Tamandua tetradactyla: one gene and its partner. The protein of the gene in region 2 purifies or fractionates together with the protein of the main gene of each other region. This does not show direct contact. Links are inferred from orthologs where the notes say so. Each region holds a gene or a part of one and is shown on either strand. Other genes may lie near its edges.

Evidence for each region. The genes of interacting proteins can lie anywhere in the genome.
Region 1: the proteins of EXOC8 (region 2) and RALB purify together in Homo sapiens (affinity purification with western blotting; 6 studies listed by BioGRID and IntAct, counting the BioPlex papers as one, with this or other methods). This does not show direct contact. The link is inferred for Tamandua tetradactyla from reciprocal best matches to the Homo sapiens genes EXOC8 and RALB.

The regions. Positions count from the first base shown.
Region 1 is NC_135329.1:93,271,724-93,279,084, reverse strand, and holds the start of RALB (ras-related protein Ral-B), read left to right. Parts: upstream 1-4,266; 5' UTR 4,267-4,352; intron 4,353-4,811; exon of another isoform or gene 4,812-4,964; intron 4,965-7,361. UniProt on the Homo sapiens protein: Multifunctional GTPase involved in a variety of cellular processes including gene expression, cell migration, cell proliferation, oncogenic transformation and membrane trafficking.
Region 2 is NC_135333.1:1,008,895-1,016,831, reverse strand, and holds the start of EXOC8 (exocyst complex component 8), read left to right. Parts: upstream 1-4,933; 5' UTR 4,934-5,448; coding exon 5,449-7,635; 3' UTR 7,636-7,937. Other genes in the region: DNA-dependent metalloprotease SPRTN, read right to left, coding at 1,283-1,411, 3,424-3,523, 4,564-4,784. UniProt on the Homo sapiens protein: Component of the exocyst complex involved in the docking of exocytic vesicles with fusion sites on the plasma membrane.

The DNA of each region.
Region 1 (7,361 bases), on a different chromosome or scaffold from region 2:
TTAAGATTTTGAAGGTGTAAATACCAGGGGCTTTTTTCTTGGTAGCTGCCTCCAAAAGGCTGGAAGGAAAGGAGCTTGGGGGAAATCACCCAGGCTTCGTGGGAGGATTCCAAAAGTGTTGGACCCTTCCCTGGGGTCCTGGGGGAGAACTCAGGAGTTTGAACCTTTTCTCAAGGAGGAATAATTCAATGCATCCTAGTAATATGTGGCTGTCCCCTATCTAATTCCCCTGGGGTTTGAGCAACTGGACGAGGCAAATGTCTAGGAAGAAGTGGGCCCACTTAGAGTTGTCCTTACTAAGGATTCCTGCCCCTGAATGAGTCCCTGCAACCCCTTCCTGAGACAGGATTAGACAACCAGAAGTTGGGAGAGAACACCTGGGCACAGAATAGAGAAGACTGAAGTGCTGAAAGTGAACTCCATTTACTTTTACGGCTTAGATTTTTCCTATAACCTTCAGTAGGCAGGAATGACTCCACCCCCCACCCCACCCCCATAGACTGGCAGCCCCTTTTCCTTTCTAAGGTGGTTACCTTAGTCAAATGCCCATGGGGGCTGCTGGAGTGTGTCAGACTCTTTATAATAATACCCTCTATTTATATAATACTGCTGGCTTGCGGAAACGAGTCTCTCCTGGGGGCTGAGACTCCAGGAAACTGTTCAGCTGTCCCTCTTCACACACTCCTTGTTTCTGCCTGGCTTCCAAGCACTCATCTCCCTGAGGCCAAAGCATTCCTGGGGATCCAGTCTTCAAACCGTGCCTCTGGCTCCTCTGGGATTTGCAGGAGGGCTCTTCTGGTTTAGCCTCCAGCTTTCTTGCTCCCCTGCTCCAGTGGTCTCCTGTTACCTGAGGGCAGATTACCTTGGCTAGCCTCTGGCCCCCATGTTACCTGGACCTATGGCAGAAGTTCTCACATTGGTCTGCACCCCCCGCCCCCAGCCCTGTCTCCACACAATAGCCAGAGTGATTTTTTTTGGGGGGGGGGGGCAGCGGGGAGAGTGTGTGCATGGGCTGGGACTTGAACCTGGTCTCCCGCAGGGCACAGAACGATCTTCTTAAAACTGCAAGCAGTTACCTTCCTGGCTTGAACCTTCTCGGCAACTTCCTGCCACACTTGGGATCACTTCGGATGCCTAGAGGAAGGACTAGGCATCTGGCTCCTGCTTCCAGCTCCCCAGGCCTCACTGCACTCCATACAGCCCCTTGTGTCCCCAGGGGTACCAAGCCTCTTCTGCCTTGGGGCTTTGCACCCCTCATTCCTCTGCCTCCCCTCACCCCTACCTCTGCAAGACTGACTCCTCCTCATCCTTAGGTCACAGACTAAATGCCAACAAAAGAGAACTTTTTTGGCCACTCTATCTAAAATAATTTGCAATTACACAGTGGATAATTGTTGAGTGGCCATAGCTGATAAGCTACTGGCTTATTATCTGTTCTCTTGACTGAGCCATTCACCTCCCTGTCCCCAGCTCCAGGCTTGGCACACCGTATGGCCTAGCAGCGGTCAGAGCAGGCTAAGCTATGCTGTGTAACAAACAGCTTCCAAATCATAGTGTTCCAAACCACAATGATTTCTCATTTCAGTTGTAACAAATGTGCCACACCAATGCAAGCTGTTAATAAGAGGGAGTTAACAGATGTGGCCTCTCTCTCCAGCCAACACAACAAAGAACTCACTACCTCCCCCTGTCTATGTGGGACATGACTCCCAGGGGTACGGATCTTCCTGCAACGTGGGACAGAAATCCCAGAATGAGCTGAGATTCAGCATCAAGTGATTGAGAAAAACTCTAGAATGAGCTGAGACTCAGCATCAAGGGATTGAGAAAACCTTCTGGACCAAAAGGGGGAAGAGTGAAATGAGACAAAGTGTCAATGGCTGAGAGATTTCAAACAGAGTCGAGAGGTTATCCTGGAGGTTATTCTTACACATTAAGTAGATATCACCCTATCATCCAAGATGTAATGGAGAGGTTGGAGGGAACTGCCTGAAAATGTGGAGCTGTGTTCCTGTAGCCATGTTTCTTAATGATGATTGTATGATATAGCTTTCACAATGTGACTGTGTGATTGTGAAAACCTTGTGTCTGATGCTCCTTTTATCTACCTTGTCAACAGATGATTAGACCATATGTAATAAAAATAAATAATAGGGGGAACAAATGTTAAAATAAATTTAGCTTGAAATGCTAATGATCAATGAAAGGGAGCGGTAAAACGTATGGTATGCAAATTTCTTTTTTGTTTTCGTTTTATTTTTGTTATCTTTTTATTTCTTTTTCTGAATTGATGCAAACGTTCTAAGAAATTATCATGATGATGAATATGCAACTATGTGATATTGTGAATTACTGATTATATATGTAGAATGGAATACACATATATTAAGAATGTTTGTGTTTCTTTTCCATAATTTTTTTAAATAAAAAATTAAAAAAACAAACAACAACAAAAAAGAGGGAGTTAAATGGGAACCCTGTATTGTATGCATGATTTTTCTGTAACCCCTCAAGTTCCATAATAATAAAAAAGATTTACTTCTCATGCTAATGCCCACCACAGCTTGGCAGGGGTCTCTGTCCATTGTAGGCACCCAGGCTGATGGAGCAGCCACCCTCTCAAACATTCTCAGTGGCTGTACAGAGAAAAATTGAACTGGCAATCACATTCTCCAGCCCAGAAATGATTAATGTGTCACTTTGGCTCACAACTTATTGGTTGGACTCAGTCACAGGGCCCCATCCAACCACACAGGGTGCTCCTATGGGTTGGATGGAGCTGCCCAGTATTCAGGATGGTAAAGTGGAAATACGTGGCAAGTAGCACTGAAGATCAGCACAGTACTTAATAAATACTCTTGGAGGAGAGAAGATCTAGAGTGTTTTCTGCACAGCTGCTAAAGGGTAGGAAGACCTCCCAGGCTCCTGCCATTTGGGCCCCTGCTCTGCCAGGAGTCAGTGTTCCAGCAGACAAGAGCATCTCCTGGCAATCCCAGAGGTAGCTGAGCCCCGTGGCCTACCAGTGTTCTCCCTCTGGCAGGACACATTTCTGGGCTGATGTCCTCTGTGAGACAGCTCCTTCAAAAGGGTTGTGCCACTCCTCTCTGAATCTGCTACAGCCAGTTAAGGGCGTGTCCTGTCCCAAGAGCTGAATACAGCAGGTCCTTACACTAGGCCTTCCCCCCGGCTGCACGGAGCATGTACATTTGTAATGACGGTGCTGTATAGTCCCAGGTACAGCAGGGCCTTGGGAGGAAACACCATCCCAGGGTGGGTTCTGACACACTGGGGTGTACAAAGGGGCCTCTGGTGGAAGCATCCTTCAAGCTCACATTCCCTGAGCACTCCCCCGGTTCCCAGCACTGTACCCAGAGCCTTACTTGCAATTTCTTTTAAATCTTCACCCCTATCAGTAAAGTATGGCCACGTCTGGGCAGTTGGGGAGACTGAGGTCCAGAGAGGTTAGGCAACTTCCTAATTACCTTCTAGTTATAAGGCACAGCTGTCCTTTGAATCTATGCTTCCCGACTCCAACCCTATACACTTAATTATATTCCTGCATAGAAAAAGACATGATTCCCCCTCCAGAGATACTCCTCTTGAGAAGCTGCCTAACCCTTCTCTCTTACAGTACCTGGCAGATTTCTGTCAATAAATCTAGTCTTTAACTGAATGAGAAGATAAAAAGAATACTCAAGATGTAGATAAAATAGTCAGATATTTTTCTGGTTGTATGTTTTTGTTAAACCCATTACTTCAGATGAAGGTAAAGCTTCTGAACTTTTTGACATGGATGTTGGTGGAGGAACAGATGCGTTAGTTCCTTGAGCCTGGGACTCCAATCAAGCCACACAGCCTCTAACATAATACCTATGTATCTTAATGTGTATCAACAATGAAAGGATGAATTAATTTAATTTATAGGCAGACACCGTGCTAACTGCTGTGGATAAAAAATTGGATAGGAGATAGTTCCCATTCTTAAGAGATTACAGAGACTGACATTTAATCAAAACACTGACATCCAGGGTGACACGCCAAGGAGGCTTAAGGTGCAATGGGCCACAAAACCAGCGGAGGTGACGGCGGAAGGAGGTGACTCTAGGAAGGGGCAGTTAGTTCCGCAAGTCAACCCGAGGAGAAGCCCTATTTGGACAGAAAATGACAAGTTCCGGGGTTTCAGAGGGCGGGGCCGGGTTGTGGGAGAAAACCTGTGTGTCAAGTGTTCGCCCACCGCACTTCCTGCCTCCAGACCGAGAGCAAGGTGAGGGCGCCGGTGCCGGGTGTGACTCGGCCGAGGAGCTCCGCCACTGCTAATGGGATGCCATTAGTCGAGTGCGTCGTGGCGGCAAGTAGGGTTCCGCCCCAGGGGCCCTCAGCCGGCGTCTCAACTGCCTCCCACACCCACCCCACCCCGCGTGCCAGCACACCTTGCCGCTCCGTAATTTGCCTTGGTTTCCATTTATAGGTTCCCTTTTGGTGGCAAAGACGCCAGCCGCGCCCGGGGGCAGACCCCAAGCTTCACCGCCCCGCACCAGTTCATGCACCCCTGCTGCGGCAACGGTCACGTGCCTAGGAAGGCAATGGGGTGGGCGGGGCCGGCGCGCTGAGACCGCCCCCCCCCCCCCCCCCCCCCGCTTGAGGCGCCTTCTCATTGGCGCAGCCTTCTGTCCCCGCCCGCTGCCAGTCACGTCCGTTTCGGGTTGGCTGATGGTTTCTGACGGGCGTGGCCTGCGGAGGGGAGGGCGGGAACGGAAGGGACGGCGCGCTCTCGAGAGGAGGGGTTGCCTAGGCGACGTCGGGGGCGCGCTTGGGGGGTGGGGAAGCGAGCCGGGTCTGCTTCATGACAAATCGGCGGGAGACGGCTGGAGTCCGGCCCCGGGAGGAGGCGACGGGTGGGGCGGGGCGGGCCTGAGGGCGGCGGGCCGGGTGCGGACGGGCGAGGCGGCGCGGGACGTTCCCAGGTGAGGGCGCGCAGCCCGGTAGGGCCCCTCGGGCGGGGCGGGGCGGGGGCCGGGGAAGTGGGGCGCGGGGCCTCCTGCCCCCGCGCTGTCCGCGCGGAGCTGGGCCCGGCGGTGGCCGGCGGCGGAGGGCGACGCCCGGGCACGGGGTCTCTCGGAGAGGCCGCGGCCTCCAGCCCAACCTGGGGCGGAGGAGACGGGGCAGTGGCCCAGCCGCTCCCTTCGTGCGGCTCCTTCCCTTTTCCCACTAATGGCCTCGGTTTCCACTTCCTGCCCGGTCCGGGCTCCCGCTTCCTCTGCCTCTTAGTTGCCGCTGCGGGTAGGGAGTTGCAAAAACTTATTACTACCTTAGGGACTTGTATTGCGGTGAACTGGCGTCGTATTCCGAAAGTTTTGCCTCAATTTTGGTTCTGTCTTGGAAATGAATGTACAGTTGCCTTCTTCCCACTCCCACTATCCTCTTTGATAGGTGCGAGCAAAGAATGTTGCTTCTTATGGGGAATACCATGGACCTGGCTGTTTCCCGGGGCCAGGCATCAACTTCAATGTTTCTGCCTCCTTACAGATTATAAGGTAGTCCGTGGCGGTTCAGAGCTGCCCATCGCCGGGATAGCTCAGCTCACATTGTATGTCCCCTCTGTGCTAATTTTCAGGTGATTATTGGAAATGTTGGGACTTGAATGTTATCAGGTAAAGTTATCAGGTGAGAAGTTCCTGGTGTCCAGGGGGAGACTTCGCTGATTGCTTGAGTTGATATCAGTGACTTGACCTCAAGCATGTGGAACAGTGGACTTTCTGCTTTGTGCTAGTTTCCTAACCTCCTTTCCTTTTGTGAAACTTTGGGGATGGATAGTGGGCACCAATTATCAGGGGAGAATATGTCTTTTAGATGCATTAACGACGGATGTTCTAAAGCAGAGCATTGAGATCCTTGAGTGTCAAAGCTTGGAACAGAGGAAAGCAGCATTCCATAAAGCTGAAGAAATGGAATGAGAATATGGAAGTTCTGAGATGGGGTGGCCAGGAAAGGTAGCATGGAATAGTGGGAGGAAGAGGAGTGCTGGATTTGAAGACCTAGGTTCCCCGCTTGTTCTGCTAGTGGTGTGATCTTGAGCATGGGTTTTCTTTCACCCCTCTGAGCTCTGGATTCCATGGTGATAATGGTTATACCTTTGCCACCTAATTGCTGGGATAGATCAATGAAAGTTCTATTTAAATCAAGGTAAGGACTGTTTAAATCGCTCTTTGTGGCATTGGGTGGGAAGAAGCCTGGGAAAGGGACATCATTGTGATGTTTCCTTATGAGCTATTTTAATCCTGTCAGCTAGCCTCCTTTCTTCCGACTGCATGTGGCCTTTTCTTTCCTTTTCTGGTCACCTTATTTCCTGCTGGAAACAGTGGGTACTCTTGCCTTCGATTTCAGCAAGACTTCTCTATGCCTGAGGAATCAGACCTTTCCCCAGGATTTTGTGTGGAAAAGTGTGGGTATAGGATATAAGATTTCTTTTTGGAATGTGGGATCTAGACATATAAAGACAGAAAACACGAATTAGAACTTTCAGTGGTATCTGAAGAGGTCTTGGTAATAGGTGGAAGAAATGATAAAAGTTCTAAAGTTCCGCTTTTTATTAGATTCTTACCTTGCCTAAACATGGCTTGAGACTCCATGAAATGTGTTATGGGTTGAATTGTGTTCCCCCCCCCCCCAAAAAAAAAGATGGGCTGGAGTTTTAACTTCCAGTACCTCAGACTATGACCTCATTTGGAAATAGAGTCATTGCAGATGTATGTAGTTAGTTACATCGAGGTCATACTGGAGTGGCATGGGCTCTTAATTCAATATGGTTGGTGTCCTTATAAGAAGAGAGGAGTCAAAGAGATAGACACAGAGGAGAACACAGTATGAAGAGAGCCACAGAGGGAAGATGGCCATGTTAGGACAGGCGGAGAATGGAGTGATGTGTCTATAAGCCAAGACACCCCCTGGGGCCACCAGCAGCCAGGTGGGAGGCATGGGACACATTCTTCCCTAGAGATTTCAACGGGGGCATGACCTTGCTGACGCCTTGATTCTGGGCTTCTAGGGTCCAGAACGGTGAGAAATAGATCTCTGTGATTTTAAGTCACCCAGTTAGTGGGTACTTTGTTATGGGAGTCCTAGAAAGTTAATACAAAAAAGTAATTTGTTTCTAAAATCTCAGAGTTGAGATCATCCTTTGTACTACATCACTCAATTCTACTAGACCTCTTTGCTTTCAGCTCCTAAATTCTTACCTCCTCATCTAATTTATGGAAGTTGGAAACATCATTGGTGTGCTTGCCTGTAAAGCTGGTTTTGGAGACATTGTAACGACCTAGAACTCAGTGTCTGAAGAGACACAAGAGAACTTGGTGAGCTCT
Region 2 (7,937 bases):
TCCTCTCCCAACTGAACAGTAGGAAGTACACAAGGGATTTGATTAAAGCATAAATTCTGATGAAGAAACTACAAAATTTTTACACATCATAATTTTTTTTGCTAATCTGGATTTTATGTCTGATTATTTTTAATGCAGGCCACTTTTCTGATATTGAAGTAACTGTGCATCCAATAATTAAATCCAGAATATTAAAGAAAAGAGTAATAAATGGAGGGTGAGTACTTTACATTTTATTGCCTTTCGATGGAAGCACATACCCAATTACACTACAGAATATAATCATGTAGAAATTAATAATTCTATTTGGCCCCATTCAACTCTGTATTTGTTAAACTCTTGTAAGGATACTAAATTATACATCTTGCTTCAAAAAAAAAGACTAGACTTCAGAGATATGCAAGTAGAATACAGAATTGCAAGAGGTTAAACATCTGCTAGGAAATTCAAAGGAGGGCGAAGTCATATCCAATTGGAAAGAAAAAGGGCATTTGGACAGAAAACAGAAGAAATGGGATATATGAGGAAAGGCATGGAGGTAAAAAGTTCAGTTAGACAGGAACATAGAACACACGCAGGGGAGTTGTGAGAGGTGGGAAAAAAGAAACAATAAGATTATCTTATAAAATTAAAACTAATAATAAAAACAACTACTATTTAATTAGTGCTCAAAGTGTGCTAAAATGTTCCTTTAGTTCTCATAAGGAACCAATAGATAGGTATTGTTATCCCCATTTTAAAAGTGAGTTAAATGAGGCACAGAAGAGTTAGGTTAGTAACTGGTGGATCTAGGATTTGAACATAGGCAATCTGCTTCCTCATGCTTCTTTAACCCCAGGCTAACGCTGCCTCCTATAATACTATGCTGAGATGTTTGTTCTTAATTCCATCGTCAATGTGGAATCAAAGAAGGCTTCTGACGAAAAGACTGACATATGAAATGGGAGAATATAGGATGGTTTGAAGGAGACCATAATAAGTAAACAAAGTTAAGAGACAATTGACATAGTTCAAGCTTATGTAATTAGACATAATTACAAGCCTAAATTAACTACATGTAAGATGTTAACCTGGATGATGTCAGAGGCCTCAGATAAAATTCTGGCTTTGCTGCCATTCGATTCTGGGGTCCTAGATAAGTCAATCAGCTTCTCCAAGCCTCTAGTTTGCAGGTGAAAATGGTCAAAGATGTTTGGTACTACCAATTTTCTATTTTTAATTAAATCCCACGAGTTATCTCAAGAAATAAATACAAAGTATCATTAAGTATGTCTTAATATACCGTTATATTGGCTCCTGTCAGGCGGTTGATGCGATGCATATGTTTACAAAACTCTGGACCATGCCCTTCCCGGTCCTTATCATTATTAGTGACAAATAAGTAAGCATGTATCATTTCATGCAAGAGGGTCTGAAACAGAAAACAAAAGAATTTGAAACGGCACTTTTAAAATAAAAATGTATATCTGCATTTTCTTATTCTACCTGGAGGTCTTAATTTTATCTGAATCACAGGCTCCTTTCAGAAACATAAAAGTCATGAACCATCTTGCCAGAAAAATTACATACACATACATTTACAAAACTTTGCAAATGATATCCAAAGCTCTGCAGAACACAGGTTAAGACTCTCTGTTCCAAAAAGGCCTTTTAAATTCTTAATCAAAATCCAGAATAAAAATCTGATGAACTCAACTACACAAAAACTTTAAAATTTCATATGGGGAAAAAAATCATAAGGAGAGTAAAAAAAACATATGTGTAACTGAGTCAGACTATTAATATCCTATTACATAAAGAGCTAAAGTCAAAAGGGAAATGACCAACAACCCAACTTTAAAATTGGCGAAGATCATGGATAGTTCACAGAAAAAGAAATATAAATGACACATAAATATCAAAAGATGTTCAAACTCATAAGAGAAATGCAAATTAATACTACTATAGGATACCATTTCTTGCTTATCAAGACTGATTAAAGCTACTAAAGTTTGACACTGTTAGTAATGCTATGGGAAAATAAACATTCCCATATATCACTGGTGGGAGTTCAAAATGCTACAACCCCTAAAAAGAACTTGGTAACATCTGACAAAATTTAAAATTCATGCATACTTTGGCCCAGTGATACCTAAATTGATATGAAAGATCATTTGTACAAGGTGTATTCATTTTGGCATTATTCATAATGACAAAAGACTGGATATATTCTAAGCGTTTAGAAAGCGGGGACTGGCTGACTGTACTATGGAATATCCACATCACAGAATTCTGTGTAGGTATAAAAAAGAAAGAAAATGATGGCTATGAAAAAGGCAAAGAATGTTAAGAGCGTACATAACACATTTTGTGTAAGTGTGCAGTGTGGCAGAGACAGGGAAGAAGTGAATATAAATATTTGCAAAACAGAACAAGGAAAAAATATGAAACTAGTACCAACAGTTCCCTATAGTGGGTGGGAAGGTCAAATTGGGAGGACGACAAGAGAACAAGATTTCTGTGTATAACTTACTAGAGTTCTGAACCACATAAAATGAATCACGTAAAATTTTAAAATAAAAAAACTCATTATGCATACCACTTCTTAATGAAAATCACAAAAGTCTTCAAAAGTGTAGCATTTTTATAATCCTCTTTTATTAAACAAAGAAGTTTCATCAGAAGAACTAGGCTGGCATTAATTTAATTAAATTTTTAGTCTTATAAAATTATGCTGAACAGAAAAATAGGAGAATCAAAGATTTTAAGTTGGTCATCATAAAAATATCTCTTTTTAAGTTATCAGTTGTCTCTCTCAAAACGAACTTGATTTTTCAAGTCACTCTATCAAGACCCATTCTACATTTCAAAAGTTTCTCAACTTTTCATAATAATGTTAAACAACTATTTCTATACTTTGTGCTGCTAGTTCAGTTAAGTGTCCTGGGATGACAACACTGTGGCAGTTGAATAAAATGTGCATGTCAAAGCAGGAAAACTTTGTTCCTAAGCTTTTTTTCCCTTGTGCTTCTAATTATGTAACTTAATCACTTAATTCTCTGAACTTTAATTTCCTCATTTATAAAAATGAGGATAACATACACTGAACATCAAAAGGATTGCTGTAAAGATCAAGTGGGATAATATATCTGAAAGCCTTTTATAGCTCTGAAGCACTATACAAAATATAAGGCAACTACTATTATTATTTAACCCACAGATAAAAATATAAAGGGAAGGGTGGGCCATGGTGGCTCAGCAGGCAGAGTTCTTGCCTGCCATGTCAGAGACCCAGGTTCGATTCCCAGTGACTGCCCATGCAAAAAAAAAAAAAAGAAAGAAAAAGTAAAGGGAGAAGTGATTTTTTAAAAATGCACAGTACTCTAAATCACTGTAAGCATATCTAAATTACTGAGCTAAAAATTGTATGGATGCAAAGATTACCTCTACAAGATCCTTTCGGGGTCTCAATTTTAAAAGGGGTTCACTGAGACGAATGGAACACATTCCACCTCTCCCTTCATAGCTGCATACCCCAGCACACCTGGAAAACAACCACAAAAATTTGTTACATCACTAAATGCACACCAAAAGGGAAACAGATGAAAGAGCAAATCCTTATACATTCCTGGGCAGCTCACACTAAGAAAATTCTACTGGCAGATGTCTTTCTTGAAAGTATACTCTCTTTGTTATGAGATATTTACACGTCACCCCAGCTAGGGAGATAAGTCAACAGAAATGGCTTCCCTACCCTAGCCAGGCTACAACTGGTCAAAGAAGATAATCCTGTTCATCTACTCCCAGTCTACTCCCTACAAGTTGTAATCAGCCGCTGGTGGTATTAGGCACACACCTACTCCAGTAGCACATCTCCAAAATTATAGTAGGTTATATGAAGGAGAGTTGTACTTTAAGCACAACTTGATATCATATCCTATCTGTAGGTTATGTTTGTTAACAATTCAAAAACATGCATGCTGATATGCAAACTGCATCATACACTTGTTAACCCCTTTCATGCGCAGGAATAGATGATTCTTTCAAATGTGGATTTCTCAATTCTTAAGTGCAGAAAGAAATCCTTTTATGGGCGCCACTGAAGATCCCCTGGGTCCAGATAAAGACAAATGTCAACTCCTTCTTCATTCTAACACATGCCATCACTACTTAGCGAAGGTATCTTACTGAGTAGAGAAGAGGATAACCCACAACACACACCCTTTGGAGGCTTCTGTGCTTCCTCAGCACTTTTAACTAGGGTCAGACTTTGGTTGTTCCCTCCTCCTAGATCCTAAAGCGCTACCATAAGACAAATCAGAAATATGTTCATTTATTATCAAGCGAAGTGAGTTTCAAAAAAAAAGTTCTTTTCTCTTATTTCCCTTATTGTGAGCCGTAACACAGCGTTGTTTGAGCGAGAGACTGGGCAAGAAAGGGACAAATACACTAAGGAGCTACTTGGTCCAGAACCAGACCCCCTCGATTAACGTGCCCCGAGACCATCAAGGCTGAGAAAGCAGAGTCCCAAGGCCCGAAGCAGCAGACCTCCGAGACCCGCCCACCCAGGGGCTCCTGACTCACAGGGTCATGCGCATGCTCCACTTCACCTCCACGGCCTCCAGTTGGCCCCAGAAGAAACGATCGTTGAACTGAACAAACAGGGCCTGCAAATCTGGGGTGGGGTCCACCAGCTCCCACGACGCGTCCACCAACGACAGGGGCTCCTGGGCCTTATCGCGCCCTGCGGTCTGCAAGTCCCATTCCTCCTGCAGCTGTAGCGCCAACACTAAGTCCTCGTCCATCGCTGCCCGGAACTCAAAGCACAAACCCGGGGGAAGCTGCTCCCAGACTCGGCGGCGAGTCACAAATGCTCGCAGGGCCCTAGTCGAACTCCTAGGAGATAGCGGCTCCCAGGCTGCTCTCGTGTTATCCCGCCACAATCGCGAGAATTCGGGGAAAACTGGCTTTAGAACGAGAACGAGAGTTAAGCTGGGACCAAACGTCGTAGCCAAGATTTGGGGGTTTTTTAAAAAAAACAACTAGCATGACACCTCCTACTTGGCGCAAAACTTGGATTTTCAGGGTTCGGCCCAGAGAAAGGTTTCAGGAAGCTGGTTTTGCCTTTCCAGTCCCCGGACTTGCCTCTAACTTCGAACATCTCACGTCACACAGACCTCCGCGCAGTACCTATATCCCTCCGCCTCCGCCCTCCACTCACTTCCGCAACAGCTGACTCGGCGCAGGCACCTCAACAGCTGGCTTTTCTGCGCAGGCGCACTGTCTGTGTGCCGCCACCACCACCCCCCCTTGCGCAGGCGCATTGTTTGGAGCTCAAACCCGGGCGCAGGCGCACACGTCTCGTTTCCGCCCGGCTTACGCAGCCCCGGGCCTCTGTCCGGATTGGGTGGGTCTTGATTGTGGTGTCGGCGGTGATAGTGACAGTGACTGCTTGAGACCCGAACGGAAATGGCCATGGCGATGTCGGACAGTGGGGCAAGCCGTTTGCGGCGGCAGCTGGAGTCAGGTGGCTTTGAGGCGAGTCTGTACGTGAAGCAACTCTCGCAGCAGTCGGACGGGGACCGGGACCTGCAGGAGCACCGGCAGCGCATCCAGGCGCTGGCAGAGGAGACGGCGCAGAACCTAAAGCGCAACGTATACCAGAACTACCGGCAATTCATCGAGACGGCCCGCGAGATCTCCTACTTGGAGAGCGAGATGTATCAACTTAGTCATCTGCTTACCGAGCAGAAGAGCAGCCTGGAGAGCATCCCGCTTACCCTGCTTCCCGCCGCCGCCGCCGCCGCGGTCGCTGGGGCCGCCTCGGCCTCCGGAGGGGAGGAGGGAGCAGGGGGGCCGGGCAGCCGAGACCACCTCCGAGGCCAGGCTGGCTTTTTTCCCACCCCGGGAGGCGCCTCCCGGGACGGTTCAAGTTTGGGTGAGGAAGGGAAGCAGCGCACGCTCACCACCCTGCTTGAGAAGGTGGAAGGCTGCCGGCACCTGCTGGAGACACCGGGCCAATACCTGGTGTACAACGGAGATCTGGTGGAATACGAGGCGGACCACATGGCCCAGCTGCAGCGAGTGCATGGCTTTCTCATGAACGACTGTTTGCTGGTGGCCACCTGGCTGCCGCAGCGGCGGGGAATGTATCGCTACAACGCTCTCTATCCCCTAGATGGCCTGGCTGTGGTCAATGTCAAGGATAACCCACCCATGAAGGACATGTTCAAGTTGCTCATGTTCCCCGAGAGCCGTATCTTTCAGGCGGAAAATGCTAAAATCAAGCGGGAGTGGCTGGAAGTGCTGGAGGAAACCAAGAGGGCCCTCAGTGAGAAAAGACGTAGGGAGCAAGAGGAGGCAGCGGCCCCTCGAGGGCCACCCCAAGTGACTTCCAAGGCCAGCAACCCATTTGAGGAGGATGAAGAAGAAGAACTAACTGTTCCGGAGGTAGAGGAAGAGAGGGTGGACCTCTCAGTGGAATGGATCCAGGAGTTACCTGAAGACCTGGATGTCTGTATTGCCCAGAGGGACTTCGAAGGGGCCGTTGATCTGCTGGATAAATTGAACCACTACCTGGAAGATAAGCCCAGTCCCCCGCCTGTAAAAGAACTAAGGGCCAAAGTGGATGAGCGCGTTCGTCAGCTCACGGAGGTATTAGTTTTTGAACTCTCTCCCGATCGTTCCCTGAGAGGTGGTCCCAAGGCTACTCGTAGGGCAGTTTCTCAACTAATCCGGCTTGGCCAGTGCACCAAGGCTTGTGAACTGTTTTTGAGAAACAGGGCAGCAGCTGTACATACTGCCATACGTCAGCTGCGCATCGAAGGTGCCACTTTACTCTATATTCATAAGCTATGCCATGTCTTCTTTAACAGCCTTCTTGAGACTGCAAGGGAGTTTGAGACAGATTTTGCAGGCACTGACAGTGGCTGCTGCTCCGCCTTTGTGGTCTGGGCACGGTCAGCCATGGGCATGTTTGTGGATGCTTTTAGCAAGCAAGTGTTTGATAGCAAAGAGAGCCTCTCAACAGCAGCTGAGTGTGTAAAGGTGGCTAAGGATCAGTGTCAGCTACTGGGTGATAAGGGACTAGACCTGACCTTCATCATCCATGCCCTTCTCGTGAAAGATATTCAAGGGGCCTTGCACAGTTACAAAGAAATCATAATCGAAGCCACTAAACATCGCAACTCTGAAGAGATGTGGAGGAGAATGAACTTGATGACTCCAGAGGCCCTGGGTAAACTCAAAGAAGAGATGAAAAGTTGTGGGGTAAGTAATTTTGAGCAGTACACTGGGGATGACTGTTGGGTGAACCTAAGTTACACCGTGGTTGCTTTCACCAAACAGACCATGGGTTTTCTGGAAGAGGCGCTGAAGCTGTACTTCCCAGAGCTGCACATGGTCCTTTTGGAGAGTCTGGTGGAAATTATTTTGGTTGCCGTCCAGCATGTGGATTATAGTCTTCGGTGTGAGCAGGATCCAGAGAAGAAGGCCTTTATCAGGCAGAATGCATCCTTCCTGTATGAAACTGTCCTCCCTGTAGTGGAGAAAAGGTTTGAAGAAGGTGTGGGGAAACCAGCCAAGCAACTCCAAGACCTGAGGAATGCATCCAGACTCATCCGTGTGAATCCCGAAAGTACAACATCAGTAGTCTGATGCTTGGATCTGTTTATACATATGTATATAACTTACTTGTGTATTATTTATATTTATATTACGTTACATTAGCATATCTTTATTGGCCTCAACATAGCTTAAAAATTGATGTTCTCTCAGAAATACCAAATCAAAAGAAAAAAAGAAGTTAAGCAAAAATAACAAAAACAATGGAATTATTAAAACATAAAATATTCTTTCCTTTTAAAATATGCTAATTCTCTATGGCCACACTATAGTATTTCACGTTATCCTTTGAATCAACATACACTTTCTCACAGTATATGTTATGTAACACAGAG